Linked DNA regions of Stegostoma tigrinum. The protein of the gene in region 1 purifies or fractionates together with the protein of each later gene. This does not show direct contact. Links are inferred from orthologs where the notes say so. Each region holds a gene or a part of one and is shown on either strand. Other genes may lie near its edges.

Region 1 (12,383 bases):
ATTTGCTATCCTACAGTCATCTGGCACTATTCCTGTAGACAATGACGAGTTAAAGATCAATGCCAAAGGCTCGGCAATCTCCTCCCTGGCTCCCCAGAGGGTCCGAGGATAAATCGCATCTGGCCCAGGGGACTTATCTATCTTCAGCATCTGAAGGATTTCTAATAACTCTTCCTTGTGAATCTCAATCCCACCTAGTCTAGTAGCCTGTATCTCAGTATTCTCCTCGACAACATTGTCATTTTCTAGAGTGAATACTGTTGAAAAATATTCATTTAGCACTTCCCCTATCTCATCTGACTCCACACACAACTTACCACTAGTATCCTTGATTGGGCCTAATCTTACTTTCATCATTCTTTTATTCCTTAAATACCTATAGAAAGCCTTAGGGTTTACCCTGATCCTATCCGCCAACAACTTCTCATGTCTCCTCATGGCTCTTCTCAGCTCTCTCTTTAGGTCTTTCCTAGCTACCTCGTAGCCCTCAAGTGCCCTAACTGAGCCTTCACATCTCATCCTAACATAAGCCTTCTTCTTCCTCTTGACCAGAGATTCCACCTCCTTTGTAAACCACGGCTCCCGCACTCTACAGCTTCCTCCCTGCCTGACAGGTACATACTTATCTAGGACACACAGGAGCTTTTCCTTGAATAAGCTCCACATTTCTAATGTGCCCATCCCCTGCAGTTTCCTTCCCCATCCTATGCTCCCTAAATCTTGCCTAATCTCATCGTAATTGCCTTTCCCCCAGCTATAACTCTTGCCCAGTGGTATACACCTATCCCTTTCCATCACTAAAGTAAACATAACAGAATTGTGATCACTATCACCAAAGTGCTCACCTACTTCCAAATCTAACACCTGGCCAGGCTCATTACCCAGTACCAAATCTAATGTGTCTTCTCCCCTTGTTGGCCTATCTACATACTGTGTCAGGAAGACCTCCTGCACACACTGGACAAAAACTGGCCCATCTATAGTGCTCGAACTACAGTGTTCCCAGTCAATATTTGGAATGTTGACGTCCCCCATGACAACTACCCTGTCTCTCTCACTCCTATCAAGAATCATCTTTGCTATCCTTTCCTCTACATCTCTGGAACTATTCGGAGGCCTACAGAAAACTCCCAACAGGGTGACCTCTCCTTTCCTATTTCTAACCTCAGCCTAAACTACCTCAGTTGACGAATTCCCAAACATCCTTTCTGCAACTGTAATACTGTCCTTGACCAACAATGCCACACCTCCGCCCCTTTTACCATCTTCTCTGTATTTACTGAAACATCTAAATCCCGGAACCTGCAACAACCATTCCTGTCCCTGCTCTATCCATGTCTCTGAAATGGCCACAACATCGAAGTCCCAGGTACCAACCCATGCTGCAAGTTCACCCATCTTATTCCGGACGCTCCTGGCATTGAAGTAGACATACTTCAAACCAACTTCTTGCTTGCCGGTGCCATCTTGCTTCCCTGAAACTTTATTTTGGACCACCCTACTCTCAACCTTTTCTATAGTCGAACTACAATTTTGGTGCCCATCCCCCTGCTGAATTAGTTTAAACCCACCCGAATAGCCTTAGCAAATTTCCCCCCCAGGATATCGGTACCCTCTGGTTCAGGTGAAGACCATCTTGCTTGTAGAGGTCCCACCTACCCCAGAAAGAGCCCCAATTACCCAAGAATCCAAAACCCTCCCTCCTGCACCATCCCTGTAGCCACGTGTTCAACTCCTCTCTCTCCCTATTCCTCGCCTCACTAGCATGTGGCACGGGCAAACCAGAGACAACAACTCTGTTCATCCTAGCTCTCAGCTTCCATCCTAGCTCCCTGAATTTCTGCCTTAAATCCCCATCTCTCTTCCTACCTATGTCATTGGTGCCAATGTGGACCACGACTTGGGGCTGCTCCCCCTCCCCCTTAAGGATCCCAAAAACACAATCAGAGACATCACGCACCCTGGCACCTGGGAGGCAACACACCAACCGTGAGTCCCTCTCGTCCCCACAGAACCTCCTATCTGTCCCCCTAACATTGGAGCCCCCAATGACTCTGCTCCTCTTCCCCCTTCCCTTCTGAGCAGCAGGGACAGACTCTGTGCCAGAGACTCTATGTGAGCAGTGTTCAAGCTAATCCATCATAATCCACTAATGTCATTCTGTTGTATTGAAAGCAATCGTTGACTTACTATGTTCATTGTTACACTTAGTACATCCATTTTTACTACCAGTGACTGTTTTTCACAATTACCCACTCATTCACTCTCCTTCATCCCCAGTGAGACAAACAGTCATCCAATTATACCTTTGCGCACACAACAAACATTGGATATGCTTCCATTGGGTATGCTTTTTATAATATCCGAAGCAATAAGTAATAAACCTCATCTGATAAAAGCTTCAAATAAGAAAATGTACTGTGGATGCTGGAGATCTGACATAAAAACAGGCAATGCTGGAAAAACTCAGCAGGTCTGGCAGCATCTGTGAGGAGAGAAACAGTTAATCTTTCAGGTTCAAAGCTACAACTTCACAAATAACTTAAAATATAGTTAATTTTCCTACAAATTGTGACTGTGGGAGCTTATTTACAATAGTCTTTACATTTTTGAAAACTGAAACAGCCTTTTTATTGTTGGTTCCTATCCAAATTGGTGAGTTCCCATTTCTGATAAAATTTTCAAGCAGTTTAATTTCAACCAGGTTGTTCTTCTTTATATTCTACAAAAGAGGAACAGAATTTTTGGATTTTTGATATGTCTCTTTTTTTAAAGCAGAAGTAATTGCATGACAGCATTGAGTTTAAACCGTTTCCCCATCCATATCGAAACTAACTAAACTTTAAGGGTTGTATTAGACTAAGCATAGTATGCAACACTCACATATAATCATTCTTCAAACTGCTAAGCACTAGGTTAAAGGAACGGTCAGTAAGTCAAAATTAGATTTTAAACAAGCCTTCTTTTTCGGAAGAATAATAAATACTCAAAAGCATTCCAGTTTCTCAAACCTATCTGCTAAATGTGTAAAAGCATGAGGAAAATAAATTCTGAAAGATCATTAAGTAAGATCTATTGGCATCAATCATAGGAGTATTTGCATTTTAGAATGCAACCTGCTAAATGTTTTTAATTGTGGAAAACCCCAATCAAAATGACCAAGAGTAAAATGAACAACAATTGATGAATTGAGAAGTATATGAAACAAATTTGTTTATTTTCTTCAAGACAAAGTCTGCCAGAGAATTACATTGTGCAGGCAGCAACTTGCATTCATATGGCGCCTTTAAATAGATAGAATAGTTACAAAGTACTTCACAGAAGCATAATCAAGTAAAATATTGAAATTACATTTGACTTTTCAAATATAAAATATTGGCATAAATCTACACATGTTCTATCAAGACAAGCATTGAGTCCACAACATTTGAAATAATGAACAGGAACAGTTTAAATACAATATCTTAATGATTGTAGTAATCCAAAGAGTATTTGAGTTTGAGTAGTAATTATTGAATAATCTAATAAATCCAGTAATTCCTTAGTTTGCAGCCGGAAAAACAATCATGAGATAAAAAGAAAAGAAATGCATCCTAAATCATAACTTACATCCAAAAAGCATAAATGGTATTGATGTAGATATCTGAACCTACACTGTTTGCTTGTTAAGCCTGTCAAACCAGATTTGGAGTGTTAACATACAAAGCTTTCATAGCACTAATCTCCTCACTGAAAATAGACTGCTCTTAATATACTTATTGATCCCGATCATACTACTCACCACTGTTTTGTTAGATCAGCTAAGTTCAACAATGAATTAAGCCATAGATTTAAATCAATAACAATGACTCTTTGATGATCCTTGTCCAAGTTGGCCTTTCAACTGGTCAAGTTCAAATAAAAACAGCCCTCACTACATTTCTCTATATGCTATTTTTACAATGGTACTAACCAACCAAATTTAAAAGCCTCATTAAAATGGAATTTGGGCGAAGCACATTAAGCATTCAGAAGTCACATTTCAGAAAATACCCATTGACTTATTTGTATCCTGGTTTACATAAAGAATTATGTCCTATTGTAAATGCTCCGTGATGCCCCGGGTTTGTTTCTCCTTCATCGTGACATCAATTGTCAATCTATAGTAAAAATGTGTGCACTTATTGTGAAAGTTTTCACAATTGAAAGATCATTTGATCCAAAAATCCATCAGTTCTGTCTTTTCTGCTTTCAGACAGTTGAGCACTGGGAAAGATGCAAAGGCCGAAGCATTCTGCAGGAGCCCAGCTATACAGTTAAATAGGGTAGTAGTGAGGGACCTGAAATATAGGGAAGTCTGGGATGGAGTTTATTGAGAGTTGCTTTTTGGAGCTAAGTATGTCGAGGGACAGAGCTTTTGGAGCAATTGGGAAAAGGATTTGGGAGCTCTTTGCAAGCGGGGAAGAGAGAGACTCGAAGTTGGGAGACCGACAAGTTGGCAAGATGCAGGTAATGATCAACAGAATGTAATTCCTGAGAACTGAGATTTACCCCATTAGAAACAGGTTGTGAAACCTCCGACAGTAACGTTTTTGACACACAAGAAGCCAGAACGTGACCCTGAGGGGCAAAGTGGAAAAAGAGAGAGAAACCTCTGGAGACCAGAGAATGTGATCACCTGGAGTAAAGTTTGTCACTGCTAGGAGCAGAGAGTCACCCCTGGGAACACGGTGTAACCCCTGTCAAATACAGTTTGTGACTCTCTGGAACCTGAGAGACTCTGGGAACAGAAGTGTAGCTATCAAGGGCAAGAAGTCACTGAAGAAAGGACGTGGTTATAGGGCAAGAAGGAGAGTTGCAATGTAACATGTAACATCAAGAAAAGAAAACAGGAGAGTGGAGAGGTGGTGGAATGGGGGCAGCTTTGAGATAATATACATTAGAAAGACTGAAAAGTTATCAAGGTAAAGCAACCCCAAACTATATTGGAAACTGAAATGCAGCCATATTGCTCAAGCATTTGCAAGGGACCACTTGGTTATTGTGAGGTGAAGACGATGAAAGATATTGGAAAATGGGAAGAATTAAATTCTGGGTAAGATACTGCATTTGTTTTTGAGTGCTTAATTCTAGTGTTTATTATTTGATCGATTTTTAAAAAAATTTTCTAAAGGGTGGGTCAGCTTCTCAAAGGAATTCAAAATATGCCTATGTTTCATTTTGTCATGAGCATCACAGGCAAAGTCAGCCTTTGTCACTCAGAGATAATGGGAACTGCAGATGCTGGAGAATCCAAGATAACAAAGTGTGAAGCTGGATGAACACAGCAGGCCAAGCAGCGTCTCAGGAGCAAGATGCTGCTTGGCCTGCTGTGTTCATCCAGCTTCACACTTTGTTATCTTTGTCACTCATTCCCACTTTCAGGGTTTTTAAAGATAATGAAATGTGAGGCTGGATGAACACAGCAGGCCCAGCAGCATCTCAGGAGCACAAAAGCTGATGTTTCGGGCCTAGACCCTCCCGAAACGTCAGAGGGTCTAGGCCGGAAACGTCAGCTTTTGTGCTCCTGAGATGCTGCTGGGCCTGCTGTGTTCATCCAGCCTCACATTTCATTATCTTGGATTCTCCAGCATCTGCAGTTCCCATTATCACTGATACAATTCAGGGTTTTTTAATGTGTTTTTATGAATGGAAGTCTTTTCACGTACAGTGAAATAATTGTTTATGATTGATTGCATTTTCTCATGTACTACGTAACAGTCAGGATACAATTCGGATTAACTTTACCAGGGTAAAATAAACAATACAAATTACAGTCATTGTCAGAAAGTAAGACGAAAGGACGGAGAAGTAAAATCTCTGCATGCTTACAACCCTCACATCTTTACGCCAGAACACGTAAATTATGTTCCCATAATTCTGCCTGGCTGACAGTAAATACTGTCTGTGCAATAGCTCTTGTGTCTTTGTAAATGACTTCCTCAACTGTGCACCCACTTTCACGATTACCCAAAAACGCAACAGCTATTTTTTTTTCATCAAAATGAATAAGTGGTCATTTTCACCTTAGGATCAACTTGCCAAGTTTACACAATTTGTAGATGTACTCGGGAGGAGATCTTTTTTACTAAAGATATAATCTTTTACAAAGGTATAACTGACTTTTGTAATTAATATGGCAACCGTGTGTTCTGTGCTGACCCATGTGTCCTGCACTCAATTGTACAAAGCTTGGTTCAAAATTATATGTAATTAAGGCATGTTGAAGTTAGTATTCTACACATCCACAATCTTTTCAGTAAAAATTTTAAACATTCTTCAAAGATTCCTCGGCAGTAGCTCCATAAATCAAATAAAAGCAAAATATTGCAGGTGCTGAAGATTTAAAGTAAAAGTAGAAAGTGCTGGAGAAGTTCAGCAAGGTTGGCAGTAACGGTGGAGAGAGAAAAATAGAGTTAACACTTCGAGTCCAACATGACTGTGAAAGTTCGGGAAAGCGTTTTTAGATTTGAAACGTTAACTCGGTTTCTCTCTCCACAGATGCTGCCAGACCTGCTGAGTTTCTCTGGCATTCTCTGTCTTTGTTAATGCAATAATTCATGTTTGGTTTATTTCTTTAAATAACAGGTAACTGTCCACCAAAGTCTCTTGCTCTAAAGCCAGCTTTCATTCGCAATATCAGAGATTGTCTTGCTGTTGCTCTGATTTTACAAAGTGCACATACTTACAGAAGACCTCAAAGTGCCATTTTTAAGTCCTTTTCGTTGAGGCTGATTCGTTTCTAAAGGACGGCATCCACATTTCAATCGTTTTGCCTGCTTCACAGATCTCTTTTCACACCAATCTCTGCAATGTTTTAAGATTAGGTAGCTCATCTCACAAATGTTTAGCAGTATGCACAGAACCGAGGAGGCAACCATGCAGTAGAGGAAGATGGTCTTTTCTGTTGGCCGACTGACAAAACAATCCACCACATTAGGGCAAGGTTTGATCTCACACTTCAAAAGGTGAGGAATAATGAAGCCATCGTACATCCATGCCAGCACAAACAGGAAACTGAACTCAACTCCTGTTTTGAACACTAGGCTAAAGAAATAGGTCCACCACAGACCTCCATCTATGTTCCCTTTGTCTTTGTACAGCTTTTTTTTGTACTTCTTCTCTCGGTGTTCCCTGTAACCTACATGCATGACAACCAGAAGAGAAGGGGTAGAAACCAAGATAAGTTGCAGTGCCCAAAGTCTTGAGTGCGACACTGGAAAGAAGTGGTCGAAACATACATTTTCACAACCAACTTGCCTTGAGTTGCAGGTAAACTCCTTCTGTTCATCATTCCAGACACGTTCTGCAGCCACCACATAGATAAGGACTCGGAATACGAACATAACACTCAACCAGATTCTCCCCACAACAGTGGAGTATTTATTCACTCCGCTCAAAACATCACGGAGTAAACTCCAGCTCATGGCTCCTCAATAACTTGATGATGAATCTACAGAATAGAGAAAAGAAATTTGAAATTAATGCACTGGATGAGTTATAGTTATTTTAATCAATCTTATCAGACTTGCATGACACATCTCTGGGGCAGCTGGGCCTTGAACCTAGCCCACTCAGCCCAGGCTTAGGGAGTCTACCACTGCACCCCAAGGGACATCGCCACAATTTGCACTGTCTTAGTTTAATGGCAGCACTTATTTATGTAGAGCATCTAATGAAATAAATCTCCCCAAGAACCCACACAGAAGTGTTGTAATACTCGCATAAAGGAGTATTGGGCAGTGGACCAAAGCATTGAGAACACAAGAGATAGGAGCAGGTGTAGGCCATTCAGCCTTTCAAGTCTGACCTACCATTCATTAGGATCATGGCCAAGGCTCAACTCTCCTTTCACCAGCTCTTCATTGCCCACAACTCCCCCAGATTTCAAAAATCTATCTACCTTCTTTTTAAATACTTTCAGTGATCCAATCTCTGGGGTAGAGAATTCCAGATGTTCTCTGGCTTCTGTGCAACATTCCCTCTAAGCTGCTTAGAGGCAGCTGCTCTGATATTCTGCACCCAACAGTCAGCAGTGGCATGCTGATCCTGTGGTTGATATCCAGTTCCAGAAGCCATGCTTGGACCCCTGAGAACCCATGCAGCTGTTAAGGAAAATTAGAGGGAATGCCATCTCTGGGAGAAGAAAATCCTTTATAAATCTCTATAAGGTCACCCCTCAACCTCCTGTGCTCCAGCGAATAAAGGTCCCAGCCTAACCAGTCTCTCCTTATAAGTCAAACCTTCCATTCCCAGACACATCCAGGGAATCTGTTTTGACCCCTTAAACCATTAATTCCTTCGTGGTTTACCTAAGGATTATTTGTGCAAATTTTGAGGGCTGTTCCCCTGGTTTTCCATGGTAAGTTGTGAGGGTTTTCCAATCTGCAATTCTGGTGGGCAAGGTTCAGTGCTAGCAGCTGAAACTCAAAAACATCTGCCCTGATTCCAACCATTTTGAATACTATCTCAGTCCTTTATCTGTCCATCTTAATTTGAGTGCCTTTTCCTTTCGAACTCAGTATTGAAGATCAAAGTTGTGATATGAAGGTGATATGTAAAATCATAGCAAGGCAACAGTTGGAGTATTGATTACAGTTTTGGTCTACACGTTACAGGAAGAAGGTGAAGGCAATGGAGGGAGAGTATAGTACAGACTTTCTTCAATCAGGAAGGGCCTCCTCAGAGAGCTGCTGGCCAATCAGACACTGACAGGCCTCCAAATCAGGAGCAGTGGCTACAGCCAGTACTGTACTGCTCCTTCACCTGAGATCGTCACTGCATCCCTAGAGAGAGAAAAGAGTGTATGGGATATGCTGGAAGGAAAGGAGGTACCAGCTAAAAGGGTAGGAAGGCTGTGGCCAAACAACTGAGGGCTGAGGGGAACCCATCTTAGAAAGCCCAGGAGCCTGATAAGAAGGGACAGCTGTAACCTCTCTCCCCACTGCAGCCTGTCTCCATCCCCCACCGCTTGCTACAGTGTTCTAGTGAAGACCAGCGCAAGCTGGAGGAACAACACCTCATTTTCCGCTTGGGGACCCTACAGCCCGCTGGACTCAATATCGAGTTCAATAATTTTAGGGCCTAAACTCACCCATGTCCCAGCCCCCACCCCACACACCAGGCCTTGTCACCACATAGCCTGCCACTACACACCCCCTGTTATTAGTCACTAACGGTCCCCATTAACAACTATTCACCCTCCCAGCCTGATCGTTAGCAACTCCTTTGTTTGTCCAACTGTCTTTCTCTCTCTTTGGGGTCTATCCTATCATTTACTCCCTACCCCACCCACCTCCCTATTTTCTGCATATAAACTGACAATTTCCCAGCCACCATCAGCTCTGAAGAAGGGTGACTGGACTGAAATGTTAAGTCTGTTTTCTCCTCCACAGATGCTACCAGACCTGCTGAGCTTTTCCAGCAACTTCAGTTTTTGTTCCTGATTTACAGCATCCACCATTCTTTAGGTTTTTATTATTATTGTAGATCCTACATTTTAAAGAGATTAATATACAGTGGTTTAATTGAGAGTTCCAAACAAAAATGCAAATATATTTTTGATTTAGTCTAATATAGGATTCCTTAGTCAAGATAATAAAGTGTGAAGTTGGATGAACACAGCAGGCCATCAGCATCTCAGGAGCTTTTGTGCTCCTGAGATGCTGCTTGGCCTGCTGTGTTCATCCAGCTTCACACTTTATTATCTTGGATTCTCCAGCATCTGCAGTTCCCATTATCCCTTCCTTAGTCAAGCTTGTTTTTTGTAAATTGATACTGCATTTTAAATTAATTAATTACACAGATGTATTTTGTTGTGGCTTATGATGGAAGTTGCTTTGCATTGATAAATTTATACAGACTCTGTAAATAGAAAAAGCTGGTTTTGGTAGTCAAATTTTAATTCAATGCAGAGTTTGTTGACATAGGTCTGCAGCAATATCAAGCAAATACATCATTCAATTTCATTGCATTCTCTTTTCATATGTTTCATTAATACACCCAAAGTCAAATCAGAGACAAATTACATCTTTCCCTACGATGAATATTAAACATAAATGTTGAAGAATGAAATATTGAACATGCAATTTTTTAACCAGGCAGAATTGGCAAATTCTGTGTAAATCACCTCACTGTAACCAAGGAACTCCTTCATGATCAACAACATATTCAGTTGTTCTTTTTCCATCTAACACCTGCTTCATTCTGTCAGCAGTCGTGCTGTTGAATTTGTCAGTTTAAGATCCCAGTAATTATACAACAATTGTTACTGCCATCGAAGCTCCAGGCTCCTGAGCAACCATGATCTGTCAGTAATATGATGAGTTTAGCTCATAAGCAATTGTTTATGGTGTACAAATGTTTATCGTGGGTTTGTACAGCATTTCACTTGATAATTTGTGTCCTTGTTTAGGCTTAAATTTACTCTGCATTTAAGTTTAATCAATAAAGTAAAATTTTAGTCTGGCTCCTGTCTAGTTTAGTGACATTACTGTTTTTTTTTCTGAGATGGTGATCAGGACTGTTCAAGGAGAGGACATCAGTAATGTGGAATTGGTCAGTCTCCCACATCTGCGTGCCAGCACCAGGTACCCGTGAGCTAGGAATAATACAAAAAATCTTTGTTGGTATGGAGAAGGTTCTAGAAGGCAGGAACATAGACACAGGAGGAAATAACCTCTACACCCTCCAGACTCACTTCATTTATCCCTAAGCATTTATTTTTCAATTCATTTGGCCAGCTCATCTCAGCTTTTGGCTTAAAAAAGGTCATCCCAGGATCAAATGCAAAGTGAGCTATGGGAGTGGTCAGGGTGGATTAGTGGCCAGATTGTGGGCACATTGTGAGGGAGCTGTGCATTTTCTGTGGTCAGTCGTCATTGGTAGAATAGGAGCAATGGGTGTGTCAGTCCACATTAAACTAAGTGACCTATTAGTTTGAGTGAAACTTTATAACTATGCATTACAGTTGCAAGAAGATTACAGCTGAGATAATCTGCTCCTCAGTACAGACTAGAAGGCTGAGTACAATCATTACAACAATCACCAACAACATCACCCAAGCCTGCCCATCCAAACAAAACAAAATACAGCAGATGGTGGAAATCTGAAGGAACTAAGTGAAAGCTCCAAACCAAGGAATATGCATGCACATCACTGTTAAAGTGTCATGTTGTGTGCAGTTAAGAAATAAAACAGACAATAAAATATGTCACTGCAATATTCATGCCATTGTCTTCTTTAGGGAATGGATAAATCACAAGCATTTAACCGAATGAATGAAATGCTTCTAGAGGCAACAGCAACAAACTCCAACATGGAAAAGGACAACCCACAAGGACACAAAAACAGAAAGTGCTAGAGAAGCTCAGCAGGTTTGGCAGCATCTCGAGAGAGAGTGAGAAACAGGGCTAATGTATCAAATTCAGTAACCTTCTTCTGAAGCCAAAAGGACTCTTGGTATCTTCCTGCGAGGCCCTTGTGGTAGAAACTACCACTCAAGGATTGGCCTCTTCAGCCAGCAGCAAAGGTGCAACCAAAAGGTGCATGTATATCATTATTCACAGGTGGAAGGATACCTGAATCACTGAAGTCGTTTGGAACCACTTGAACCAGCACTGACCAGTCTATTGCAACCAAATGTTGGGTGTTGTATAGGGTAAGCAGCCGATATAATTTTCTTGCTTTGTATGTTCCATCTATGCTTTACACAAATGTAATCGATTCTCCGAAGTTTTACTTTGTTAGGTATTCCCTCCTTGTCTGCATTCACAATGTCGGAATTTCAACATTGTTGCACTGAGCCCAGCTATAGTACTGTGAGGTTTTATGCCTTCCCATCGCCAACAATGAAGGGAGAGTAGGGAGCATGGAATAAGGGTAAAAATGGCATTTCATTTTTCTAGTTTCGAAGTTTTATTTTAAGGAGTGGATTTCCTTGATCCTGTAATGTATACCATTATGTTGCCCTTGCGCCCTTTCTCAAAGAATTTTGTGTATCTTTTCATTGTGAAAACTGCTTGAGGGTTTGCTATTTTTACTCCACCTTTTTCCTCCTGTTTATTCAAATTCCACCTGATTGACTAGGCAGTTCCGTGTCAATAGTGTGTGGGGTTTTTATACCATGACGTGGATAATTGTAAGTCGGTTTGAACCTGAAATCCATTTCATAGACAGGGTGTGATTCATATTGGCCAAGAGGCATGGAATATTTATTAAACTTCTCTCTCAGAAGGTGGAGCCAGACAAACCCAAGCCATTGGAGATAAAACTCTGACCGTGTTGATTTGTGTGTCTCACCCAGCTGCAGGATGTATTTAGAAACAGCAATAAAGAAGAGTATGTCTGGAAGCCCAGCTGAATTA
Region 2 (12,189 bases), on another chromosome or scaffold:
TCAAACCTCTCAGGATCTTCTGTATTTCAATCAAGTTACTTCTTACTCTTCTAAACTCCAATGGATAAAAGCTTAACATGCCCAACCTTTCCTCTTAAGAAAAGCCCACCTTCTCAGAATTGCCTCCAATACATGTACACAATTCCTTAAATAAAGTGAAAATATGGGGATGTACAGTATTCCAACTGCTGTCTGATTAGTGCTCTGTATAACTGAAGCACAACCTCCCTCCTTTTGTATTCCATTCTCTGTTCTGTTTAATTTATATTAAGTGGTCATTCTTGCCACTCCTTCCTGCATCATCCCTTTCGTCCATGTTTACGAGGGTGTAATATCGGAGTCAAGTAGCCATGGTGGAACCCACGTACAGCATCAGTCAGCAAGTTATTCCTTTGCAAATATCAATTAATAGGAGGTCAATTAGCTCAGTTGGCTGGTTTGCAACGCACAGTGATGCAAACAGCATGGATTCAATTCCTGCACTGGTTGAGGTCACTATTAATTTTCTACCTTCTCACCCTGCCCCCTCACCTGAAGTGTGGTGACCTTTGGATTAAACTCACCACCAGTAATCTCTAATGAGGGCAGCCCTCTGGAACAATAAATAATGTTCTATTAGCTTGCCCAATTACTATCTACATGCATACTAATCTTTCATAAGTTGTGCATATTACATTCCCATTTGACAGATCTCTGCCCACTTATTTAATCTATCAATATATTTTTGTAGCATTCTCATGTCTTCTTCACAACTTACTTTCCTACATCTGTGACATCAGAAAATTTGGCAGCCATATCCTTCGTCCCTTCACGTAAATCATTTATATAAATTGTAAACAGATGAAATCTCAGTGCCAATCCTTGTGGAACACCACTTGTTACATCCAGCAACCTGAAAAGGACCCATTCATGCCCACATTAGTTATCAGTGAACCAATCTTTTAACCGCACCAATATGCAATCACCACACTATGAACTTTTATCTTCCACAACAACCTTTGATGTGGTAGATTATCAAATAAGTTTTGGAAATCTAATTAAAGTATATTTACCAATTCCCCTTTATCTACAGCAAGTATTATATCTTTAATGAACTCCAGTAGATTGGTCAAACATGATTTCCCTTGTAATATTAATTCTGCCTGATGACCTTAAACTTATCCAAGTGCCTTCCCTTAACTTTAATAATAGCTTCTATCATTTTCCCTATGACGGATGTTAAGCCAACTGTTGTAGTTTCCTAGATGTGAGGCTGGATGAACACAGCAGGCCAAGCAGCATCTCAGGAGCACAAAAGCTGACGTTTCGGGCCTAGACCCTTCATCAGATGCTCTGATGAAGGGTCTAGGCCCGAAACGTCAGCTTTTGTGCTCCTGAGATGCTGCTTGGCCTGCTGTGTTCATCCAGCCTCACATTTTATTATCTTGGAATCTCCAGCATCTGCAGTTCCCATTATCTCTGTTGTAGTTTCCTGCTTTATGCCTCCCTTTTTGCTCCCTTTTGCTATACTCCAACCCAGTTGGACCATTCCTGAATGGAGTGTGTTTTGGAAAATTAAAACCAAATACATTAATTATCTCAGATAATAAAATGTGAGGCTGGATGAACACAGCAGGCCCAGCAGCATCTCACGAACACAAAAGCTGACATTTCGGGCCTAGACCCCTCTGATGAAGGGTCTCGGCCCGAAACGTCAGCTTTTGTGCTCCTGAGATGCTGCTTGGCCTGCTGTGTTCATCCAGCCTCACATTTTATTATCTTGGATTCTCCAGCATCTGCAGTTCCCATTATCACATTAATTACCTCACTAGCCTTTTCTTTTAAGAACTCTAGGGTGAAGCCCAACAGAGCCTGGATATTTTAAGCTTGCAGCCCAACAATTTACTCAGCAACACTTCTCAAGTGATTGTGATTTTCCTCTGACCTCGCTGCTTTCCATCTCCTGATCTATTGTTACTTCTGATATGTTACTTGTTTCTTCTAAACTGAAGACAGTTGCAAAACATCTGTTCACTGCATCAGATATTTCCTTATTTTCCATTATTAATTCTCTAGTTTAACTTTCTATAGGACTAACACATCGCTAACTGTTTTGTTGAAATATTTATAGAAACTCTTCCTAATGATTTAATATTTCTGGCTGTCTTTTTTGTACTCTATAATTATTTCCTTTTTTTTAGTAATGCTTTGCTGCTTTTAAATATCTGTCCTGTCTTCTGACCTGCTTTTTCTTTGAATTTGAAGCTACCTTTAGCCTTTTCTTGTTAACTGCAGATGGTAAGTCTGTCTCTTTGATTTTTTTTCTTATTCATTGGAATAAATATCCACTGTATATTCTGAAATATCTCCTTGATGTTTGCTACTGCATCTCTATTGACCTATTCTTTAAACTAATTGCCAGTTTATCTTAGCCAGGACCCACTATTTTCTGCCTAAAACTGAATGTAAAATTCAATAATACTATGTTGCTGCTACCTAGTGACACCAAGTCACATCAAGTTCAGTTTTCTTTGCCTGTGCTTGGTGATCTGCATTGGAAACTACCAAACAACACAGTTAAAAACATTCTTGTCCTACCTTTCAGATCCCTTCATGGCCTTGCTCCTCTAATTCTGCTCTATTGCACACTCTCAATTGTAGTTGCTCCATGGTTGGTCTAAAATTGCCTAGGTTCTAAGCTTCAGAATAATTTCTCCAAACCTCCTTGTTTCTCTATCTACTTCACTGCTTTAAGATTTTCCTCCTTTAAGTTACTACATAAAGCTGGCCTCTATTCACTTAACAAATTTTTGTGGACCTCACTGACATACTTTGCTGTATAATGCTCCTATGAAATGCCTTGGGCCATTTTATGATGTTAAAAATATTTTAACAAGTAAGTTGATGTTATCTTCTTTGTCCTGACTCATAATTTGAACAAAGTTAGAAGTTGCATGACATCAGGTTATAGTCCAACAGGTTTAGTTGAAATCACAAGTTTTTGGAATGCTGCTCCTTTACCAGGTGAGGTGAAGGGAAGCGTGCAGGCACAGAATTTATAAGCGGAGCGATAATGGGAAGATAATTCCAGGTAATTAAGAGTGTCAAAAGATAAGTACAAAGTCTTTTGACACTCTTAATTACCTGGAATTATCTTCCCAATATCTCTCCACTTATAAATTCTGTGCCTGCACATTTCTCTTCACTTCACCCGACAAAGGAGCAGCACTCTGAAAGCTTGTGATTTCAAATAAACCTGTTGGACTATAATCTGATTACGTGTAACTTCTGACACTGTCCACTCCAGTCTAACACCTGCACCTCCACTCTCAATCTTTTATTTTTAATCAGGACAGCTCCATCTTATTCATCCACAGAACAATTCTTGTAAATCATTTTTTGTACCCTCTACACTGCCTTCACATTCATCAGTGCTAGAGTTACGTCGTAACTAGTGTTGTACAGCTGGTACGTAATTCGATCCATTGAGTTTTATTCTGACAGTTGACAGTAGGAAGGTTTACTACTTCTAATGCTTGAAATCAACAGCTAACTACTAGAGATAAATTATTTGAAAGTTGATAATCACGTAGAGTTGGCGATCCAGTGTCCACGTAATTATGATATTGAGCCATATTCTTGTTCAACTTGGTTTCTTAACTTAAAAGATCCTACAGGCAGCGTCACCGATGAAACTATTTGTTTCGGCAGTTCCCAACTGCGGGCAATATTTGTGTAATAACAATCAGAGTTTATTTACAACATGCTACCAATCCGATCGTAAATAAAGCAGCGCTCAGGCCGGGTCTGTGTTTGGGTTTGATCGACGTCTCCTTGGCAACCACGACACATCACATCGGGTCGTTTCCGACCTTAATCCGCCACACATTATACAACACGTAGTTACCCAACGTTCTACATCCCCAAGGCATAAAATCGCGTTACTTTCAAACACATTACTAAACAGATTTTAAAAAAACTTTCGGAGTTGGATCAAGGGGGAGATTAATGTGAAGGATCACCAAACTTTTCGTATGTTGACGTCATCAGGGTGCGACCTCGCCCGGCGGATGAAGAGGCGGAACTATAACATGGCGTCTTTCTCTAAACTCGAGGAGTTGGACTTGACTCAGGATGAAGTGGAACGCTTCTCCACAGCGTTTAAAGATGAAAAGTTCAGAAAAATGCTCTGTGAATATGCGGAGGAAATCTCCAATCCGGAAAATAAGAAAAAGTACGAAGAGGAAATCACTCAACTTGAAAAAGAGAGGGGCATGGACGTTAAGTTCGTGCATCCCAAACCAGGTTATGTCCTAAAAACCAGCGTCAATGGGGACCAGAAATGTTTCATCAACGTGTGCAGTAACGACTTGATAAATAAACCCGTTTGCAAAGCTGGAAAGGGTGCCAATGGGAAAGTGGGACAACATTGGTCTCTTCCCTACAGTCTGGCGCCGGGGAGAGAAGATCTGGGTAAAGATGGCAGAAAACACATGATTTACGATGTAGTCTTTCATCCAGACACGTTGTATATGGCGAATAAAAACCAGAAGTTCAAAACAATGGTAGATCAAACTTCAATTGAAGTGATCGAGAAGCAACTAAATGCCAAACTAGATTTAAGAAATGTTAAAACTTTAAAAGCAAAATACAAGGGAATGCCTGAGGCTGCTGTCATTCGAAAACCTATTCCTGGTGTTCCCAGGGAACCTCCAGATGAAGAGGACCCTTTACGGTTTCCTTACCCCTTTGGTTCCCCAAAGTCAGAAATGGCCTCTGGAAATGGCACAAAATCTAAAACAACAAGCAAAAGTTCAAAATCTGCTGTGAAGGACAAGAATACAAAAACACAAGACGGCAAGTTTACTCAACCCAAATATGCCATTGTTCACAGGTCACATGTTGATTTGCAAGATTATCGATACGCTCGTGAATCTGCTCCCAGCACCAGACCTAAAGAACTGGTGATTACTATTGACCTCCCTTTGCTTAAGTCTGCTGAAAATGCTTGTTTAGCTGTAACTGAGCAATTTTTAAGTTTGGAGTCACAGAAACCGGCTTACAAGCTTAATTTAAAACTCCCTTACCCAGTAGATGAAAATCTGGGGTCAGCTACATTTAACAAATCTAAGAGGCAGCTTGTGGTTACTTTGCCTGTGCTATGTTTGGAGCAAGCCCTAGAAACTGGACAGTTTTCAGCTGGTGATTTTGAACAATCAAGGACTGAGTCCACAGAGAGTGGCCAATCATATTGTGAATCAGAATTTTATGAGCTTGAAAGACATTTACGTCATCAAAATGGAGAGCGTTTTGGTGCTTGTGTGAATCCAAAAAGTGAATTTGAACTTAGAACCCTACAAGATTCCAACCTGGAGCAATCTGAGAATGATGAACACTTGAAATTGAGCCAAAGCAAAACTCTTACAGAGTCAGTCACTAAAGAGACTGCATTAGTTTCAAATAATACTTTAGTGAAACCAAGTGACGTAATCGCTTTTTCCAAACTTGTTTCAGAGGTAGATCCTGAAGAACAGGAAAATGTCACAAATGCAATGAGTGGTAAAGAATCTCTTGGGTCTGTGGAAGAGGCATGCACGCGTTCTGTGGGTGAGGAAATAGATGATTATCTACAATTAGATTCCTCTGCAAATACTGCATTCAACTTAGATAACTGTTTAAAGAAAACAGAACCAGTATGTCCTGACTTGCATTACCATCAAAACAAAGATGCTATAACATTCATACTGCAAGTGCAAAATATTAATGAAGAAAGCTTCAAGTCAGTACTTCAAACTCATGAATATAGTGTTATATTTGGAACACAGGATTCTGATGTCATATATTCTTTGAGAGTTCAATTTCCTCCAGAACATCAGCTGGACACCACAGAAACAGTTGTTAATATATCTAAAGACAATGCTGCAGTTGTGTTAATGAAATCACCTGAGTGTCGAGGCTTGTGGCAAAGCTTTCATGCTGGAGGTACATGCAACCGTTTGCAGGTAACTTTGTAGATCGCAGAAATATCTTGCCACATACAAAATGCAATTGCAACAATTGTTCTGCCTTCACTAATTAGTCTGTGCATTCCTGCAGCTTTTTTAAAAGCAATACTGAAAACATTTTAAAATCATCCTATTGCTGTTTATTTTTAGGGACAAACTAGTAACTAGGTTAATGAAAGGCAATGCAGTATCTTAGTCCCTAAAAAAAACTTCCATAATGAATTGTAGAATGTTGTTGGAAATTGTCCTCTTGGGTATAATGTAAGCTGTCTCCTAGGTAAACAATGATGGGCGGTGCTTTCCCAGGGATTGTCAGTATGATAAAAACATTTATGCAGTCATTTCCTTGCTATAAATTTAATGAGTAATTACAAAAAAAATCCTTACAATGCTATACAAAATGATCTGGATCTTTTAAATAATACAAATTGCAGTATCTTTGTCTCTTTATCTATTGAAAGTTGATTTCAGAAACACTTGCCTGTTGCAAACATTGTGTATGCTTAGCATATATAGTAACTTATGTACTGGTGCAATGTGTATACACCATTCACCCACTTTTTTTTCTTAATTCACTCATGGGCATGGGTGTTGCTGATGGCCAGCATTTATTACCTGTCCCTAGTTGCCCTTGAGAAAGTGGTGATGAGCTGCCTTGTACCTCTGCACTCCATATGCTGTAGGTAGGTCCATAATCCCATTTGGAAGGGTGAGGGAAATTTTCAGATTGCCCATCTTTGTTTACCTTGGAGACACCTTACATTACATTCAAGAGTAACCAATTATGAAATGTCAACATATAACAGACCTTTCCCCATTTCAAAGATACAGAAAATAAAAAGATGCAATCTTTACTTACCTACAGTGGAGAAATCAAGGTGTGGGAATGGGAGGTTAATGTGTCTTCATTAAAAAGGTTAAACCTGCAATGGACAGTTTGAGCTGAGTTTGGTTTCCAGTTTGAAGGAGACTGCATTTGTGAGCAGTATAGTGGATTCAAGAATCTCTTGCACGGACAATTATTGACTAGGGAGGGCAGTTAACAAAAGGAATTGTATTGTTGTAGTATATTCAACACTGCTTTTTATTCCATCTTACATTGCACAATCTAATATGAAATTACGTGACTAAAACTTAACATAATTGGTTATATTTTTTAGTTATACTATAAATGGTAGTTGGGACTGAGCAGTTTCCCACTTGTAGATTTACAAGTATGCGAATGGCAATGTAAATTTCAAGACACTTGGTTCATTTGAAAATTAATTTGAATATCAGTTTATTAGAACTGTATCACTTTATGTATTCAGTGAGAGATTATATGTTTATTTGTTTTATTCAGAGACCAGTTAAATTTGCACGTGGTTTTAATACATTTATACTATATACCAGTAATACACAGTACCAAAACCCATTCTTATTAATGTAGGTTGACACTTTGTGAAAATACTACAGTATTGTAGGAGTCAAGTTAAGTTTAAATAATTTGTAGATTTTGTTCGAGGAGTACGATTTGTAAAAGTGCATAAACAATTAAGTATGTTTCATCAGATGTATTAAATAAGTGAATAAAGTGTTCTTTTTATTTAGAAGAAACTATTTGTAACTTCAGAAAATATCAGTCAATTCTTGAGTACTACTTTGGAGGATCCAGTCCCAAATGAGCTATCAAGAAAACATCCTTTGATTAGTGTGACGGAAGTCAGTGAAAGTGGTCTTGTTATTCATTCTAAGGTGAGTTATGTGAAACTAGATCCAAAGATTCAACAAGAACAGAATATCGTTCACAAACTATCCTGTATTGACCATTGAGATAAACATTGCAGAACAGTCATGGCATTGCTTTACAAAGCAGAAATAAGTTGTTGTATATTAACTAAGAAGATTTAAAAGTATGTTCTTTCCCGAGATAATCTTTGTCAATTACTGTATTTCTCCTCTGTTATCTCTGCTGAACACTGAGCATTCTTTCTGCATTAACCTGTAGCGATTATTGTTAGGTATTTGATGGCAGTAAATATTGTTGCTGAGCATAATTCAGTGCTTATCCAATATCCAAATGCAAGAATGTCAAAAGTGAATTGTGCTATTTTATTCAACATTTAGCAATGGAAAGTTGCAGACACTTATTGCCCCAACCAATGTCATTTTTTAACCACATATCATCTGTGGGCGTAAGTTCTCTACAAGTATCCAGCATGGCAAGGAAGGCAACGAGCTAGTCAGCTTGCTATCCTATCACCTAAAGACGCTATTCTAATGAAAAACAGAAATCTTTGTTAACCCATCCAAACTGGTACACTGTTTTAAGAAGCTGAAACGCAAGAGGAGTCCAGACCTGGGGCGAATTAGCCATGATTTTACAGAATGGCAGGGTAGATTTGAGGGGCTGTATGGCCTATTCGTCCTATTTCTTACATTTATTTTTGCATAAAATTTGTTCAAGTTAATCGACAAAATAACATTGGTTCTGAAGATTCAAGCATTTTGAGGAAACAATGAATTTCGGTTAAAACAGAAATTCACTTTTAACATGTATGTTTGCACATGATTTAAGTTTGATGTATTTGTTTCTTTTCTCGGTTCCAAATTGGATGTTTTTTGTGTCCCTGGAAAAATAGGGTTAGATAATTCAAGATTTTTCTTTTAGTAGTTTTCTTTGATCATATATGTTATAGAAAAATTGTAAAGCTCTCTTAAATTTGATTCCAGGTTAATCTTATTTGTATTTACTATTGGATATTTTAAAATGTTCTGTATTAGGTATACTGCATTTGGAAATTGATCATTTCCTGCTACTCTTCATTCAATTAATTATTTGTGGTAATAACTGTAAGAAAAATATTACATCCACCACCTCTTGGCATGGAATCGTAGAATCTTATTTGGTCTATTATGCTTGTGCCAGCTCTTTAAACACATTGTCCAATTAGTACCATTCTCTTGTTCTTTCCTCTGTCACTGCAATGTTTTCCTTTTCAAGTAGGTATCCAATTTTATTTTGAAAGTTACTCTAACTGCACTGGTAACTAAAAATTTGAATTGTTAGCAAATTTCTTTTGCTAGATTTTTGAAATATTGAGGAACTGAGACCTGTGACTGTTGAATCTGCTTCAGACTGAAACTAATATTTACATTCTACTTGTATTTTTTGGTAGCGTTCGATGAAAATTTAAAATTGCTGTGTAATGTTGTTATGCAGATCTTTATTTCAGGTAATTATAATGACATTCAGTACTATTATTCGTGCATATCAAACAGTTCCCTCAAACTCAACAGACGGAAGTAACCACAGAAACAGTGATATTATACCAGGGAACCATTACTGAAATCTGTCAAATCCTTGGCTGCCTTTACTGGCATTTTTGTTTAGAGGCCTTGTAAATGAGAAATTGATCAGTGATTTTTTTTTTACAACTAATCTTTTAATTCAGGCAAATACTGTTGATTTTATAATTTCAGCAACAAGAAAGTGAGAATACCAGTTCCCATAGACTTTTCCTGAAGCCAGATGGAGTTAACTACAATGAAGCTTATAATGCTGATTCAAACATTCAACAACAGACGGGAGAAATTTACCCCTCTGAAACTACTGCAGAGGATAACACATTGAAAAAAGAGACATCCTTAGTAAATGATGCTCCTGAGTCTGTGTCTAATCACAAAGACCAGTTACTGATGGCAGGAGAAGGAACAATTGTAAAAGTTTCAAAGGACATGGATCAGTTGCTTGACAGTAACAGTTGGACTGCTGTTAATGCAAGTAAACTTAGTGAGGTTAAAATAAAAAGTGAGTCAGTTATGTCACCCTCTCACATGAGTACAATATATGCTGACAAACCACAATCTGTAAATTGTAAAAAATCAGTACAATTTAAACAGTGCGAAGAAGTGGATGGTGGTTATATACTTGATGAAGATGACCTTCCAAGTAACCATAAGGATGGGAACACTCCTAAGTTTACTAATACTACGGCTCCACTGCAAATTCTTGAGGAAATCAATCCCAGTGACCAAAGTATTAAGATTATAAGTGACCATAAAACACAATCTGCATTCAATTTTCAGAATATGGAATTGTATCAACTAGACTAAAGAAATGTGTGATATGGTTAGAAAGGAATCATTAACTTTATTTACCTTATTTAAGACTTCGCACTTCAGGGGTCTGAACAAACAAAGGTTGCGTCTCAACTTTAAACCTGTAATACACTGTGGTATAGGTTGGTTTGCATTTTAAGTTGCATTCCAAATCTCAAAATGAGTTTAATTTTTGGTTAGCACTTGGCCATGTCATAACAGCCGAACTGGCAATTTCTATGACAGTTTCTGATTTGTAATTAAGTCTGCAGATTTGTCAGCAACAGCTGATTTTAAAAAGTTTCAGCTCTGTATTTTTATTTCTATTTTGTTGAATCTCTTGCAATTAACTTTACCTGGCAAGTCTACTATATAATTTCAATAAAGAAGTTAAAAACTGTTATAAATTCTGCATCTGGTTTCAAATGCCAAAACTAATTTATGATAAAACAATTTTTTTTTTAATCACTTGATAATTTAAGTTATTGATTTTTTTTGGAGTTTGCGATCACTGTTATCTTAAGATTACAGTAATAATGCAGTGGACAAATTTCCGACCTCTGAGCCAGAAGCTCTGTCTCAGAGTTCCACCTCGAGACTTGATGGCCAGGAAACGTCATTCACAATGCAGCTGAACAGTTTGATGATTAACCTTGAAATCCTTCCAACACATGCCATTGACAGCATTAGGCTACCTGGCCAGCCATATGCTGAAAACAAAATCACAGCCTTTCCCATTGTCATCTAAATCTCCGTTCTACAACATGCATGGAAAAAAATGTGCATGTTCAAACAGCACTTCAGTTTGAGTGAGCTAAAGACACCACCACCAATATTTTTGGTAGTATCAATATTCAAACTTCATGTTGGTTCCCTAACTCTGAGTTAAAAACAAAAATACTCTTTAAAAACTACATATACAATTCTTCAATTTCCCTGATGGATTGAATCTTGCCAATTTGAATTGCAAGTTTCACCTTCTGCTCCTCTATCAGTTGGACTGGAGCATCAGATGGGTACAAGGGATTATGTCCGAAGATGGAGACTGGTGTTTTAGGGAGAAATCTTCAAGCTGGAAGTAATTAGAATTAAGCTAGGATAATGGGGTACAGTGGATCAAAGTTGGAAGATTAGAAATATTGGCACAGGCAAATGATTGGACGAGATTTCAAAGGTAGGGAGGGATGATAGCAGTAAAGAGTTGAAAATTGGAAATTTTCAACTATTACATTGAATAATCTGAATATATGTTAATTAGATTTTGTCTGAGATAAATTGGGGAGGAACTGTTGGACTACTAAATGAAGGAGGCACCCATTTCATATATAACTTGCAGTGCTCCCAATTATCAAGTGATTGTTTTAGGTTATGAGCATTTTCACTTCAAGTGCATTGATTGATTTTACAACAGTAGAAAAGGCTATCCAAACCATAGCGAAAAAGGAGGTAGTTGAGACATTGAATGGACAAACACTTAAGAGAGAGAGGTATTAGAAAGGCTGACTCTACATAAAAGTTGAAAAAAATCACCAGATATGAATGGGATGCATCCTAGGATGCTGAAGGAAGTAAGGGATGGTACTTAGGATGCAGAAAAATTGAAAATCTTATGTCCTTAAAAGAAAGCGTGCAAAGAATGGCAAGAAAGATTTTAGAAACAATGACCTGGACAAAATTAAGTCATTTGGATACGTGTGCATGATGAGCAGCATGCTGAAGCAGAGAGACTTGGAATACTCTTCCACATCTCTTCAGCCTCAAATTTTCCTCCTTAAAACATTCCATGAAACATGCCTCTTTGACCAAGCTTTTAGTTGTCTTACTTAATATCTCCATGTGTGACTCCTTGCCCTGTTTTGTTTAATAATAGTCCTGTAATGTGCCTTGGACTGTTGCATCTTGAAGTCTCAGGTTTTTATGTTTTGAATTAATGTTGTGGTTACTATTGTTTCCTGTGTGGTCATGCTGGATCAAGCACTCCCAAAAGGTGATATTATTGGAATGGCACACAAGCATTTACTTAAGTTTCCTTGTGGATAAGTGATGAAAACATCCTGTAGCTCTTTAACAGCACTGTGGGCATGCCTACAACCACATTGGAAGGAACAGTTCAAGGCAGGTTTTC

What was found.
Region 2: the proteins of ube3d (region 1) and dnaaf2 purify together in Homo sapiens (affinity purification with mass spectrometry; 4 studies listed by BioGRID and IntAct, counting the BioPlex papers as one, with this or other methods). This does not show direct contact. The link is inferred for Stegostoma tigrinum from reciprocal best matches to the Homo sapiens genes UBE3D and DNAAF2.

What each region holds. Positions count from the first base shown.
Region 1 is NC_081357.1:39,202,925-39,215,307, forward strand, and holds the start of ube3d (E3 ubiquitin-protein ligase E3D), read right to left. Parts: upstream 5,240-12,383; 5' UTR 3,782-5,239; intron 1-3,781. Other genes in the region: gap junction beta-7 protein-like, read right to left, coding at 6,687-7,445. UniProt on the Homo sapiens protein: E3 ubiquitin-protein ligase which accepts ubiquitin from specific E2 ubiquitin-conjugating enzymes, and transfers it to substrates, generally promoting their degradation by the proteasome.
Region 2 is NC_081363.1:35,789,087-35,801,275, reverse strand, and holds the start of dnaaf2 (protein kintoun), read left to right. Parts: upstream 1-4,056; 5' UTR 4,057-4,070; coding exon 4,071-5,981; intron 5,982-7,574; coding exon 7,575-7,718; intron 7,719-9,446; coding exon 9,447-10,079; 3' UTR 10,080-12,189. UniProt on the Homo sapiens protein: Required for cytoplasmic pre-assembly of axonemal dyneins, thereby playing a central role in motility in cilia and flagella.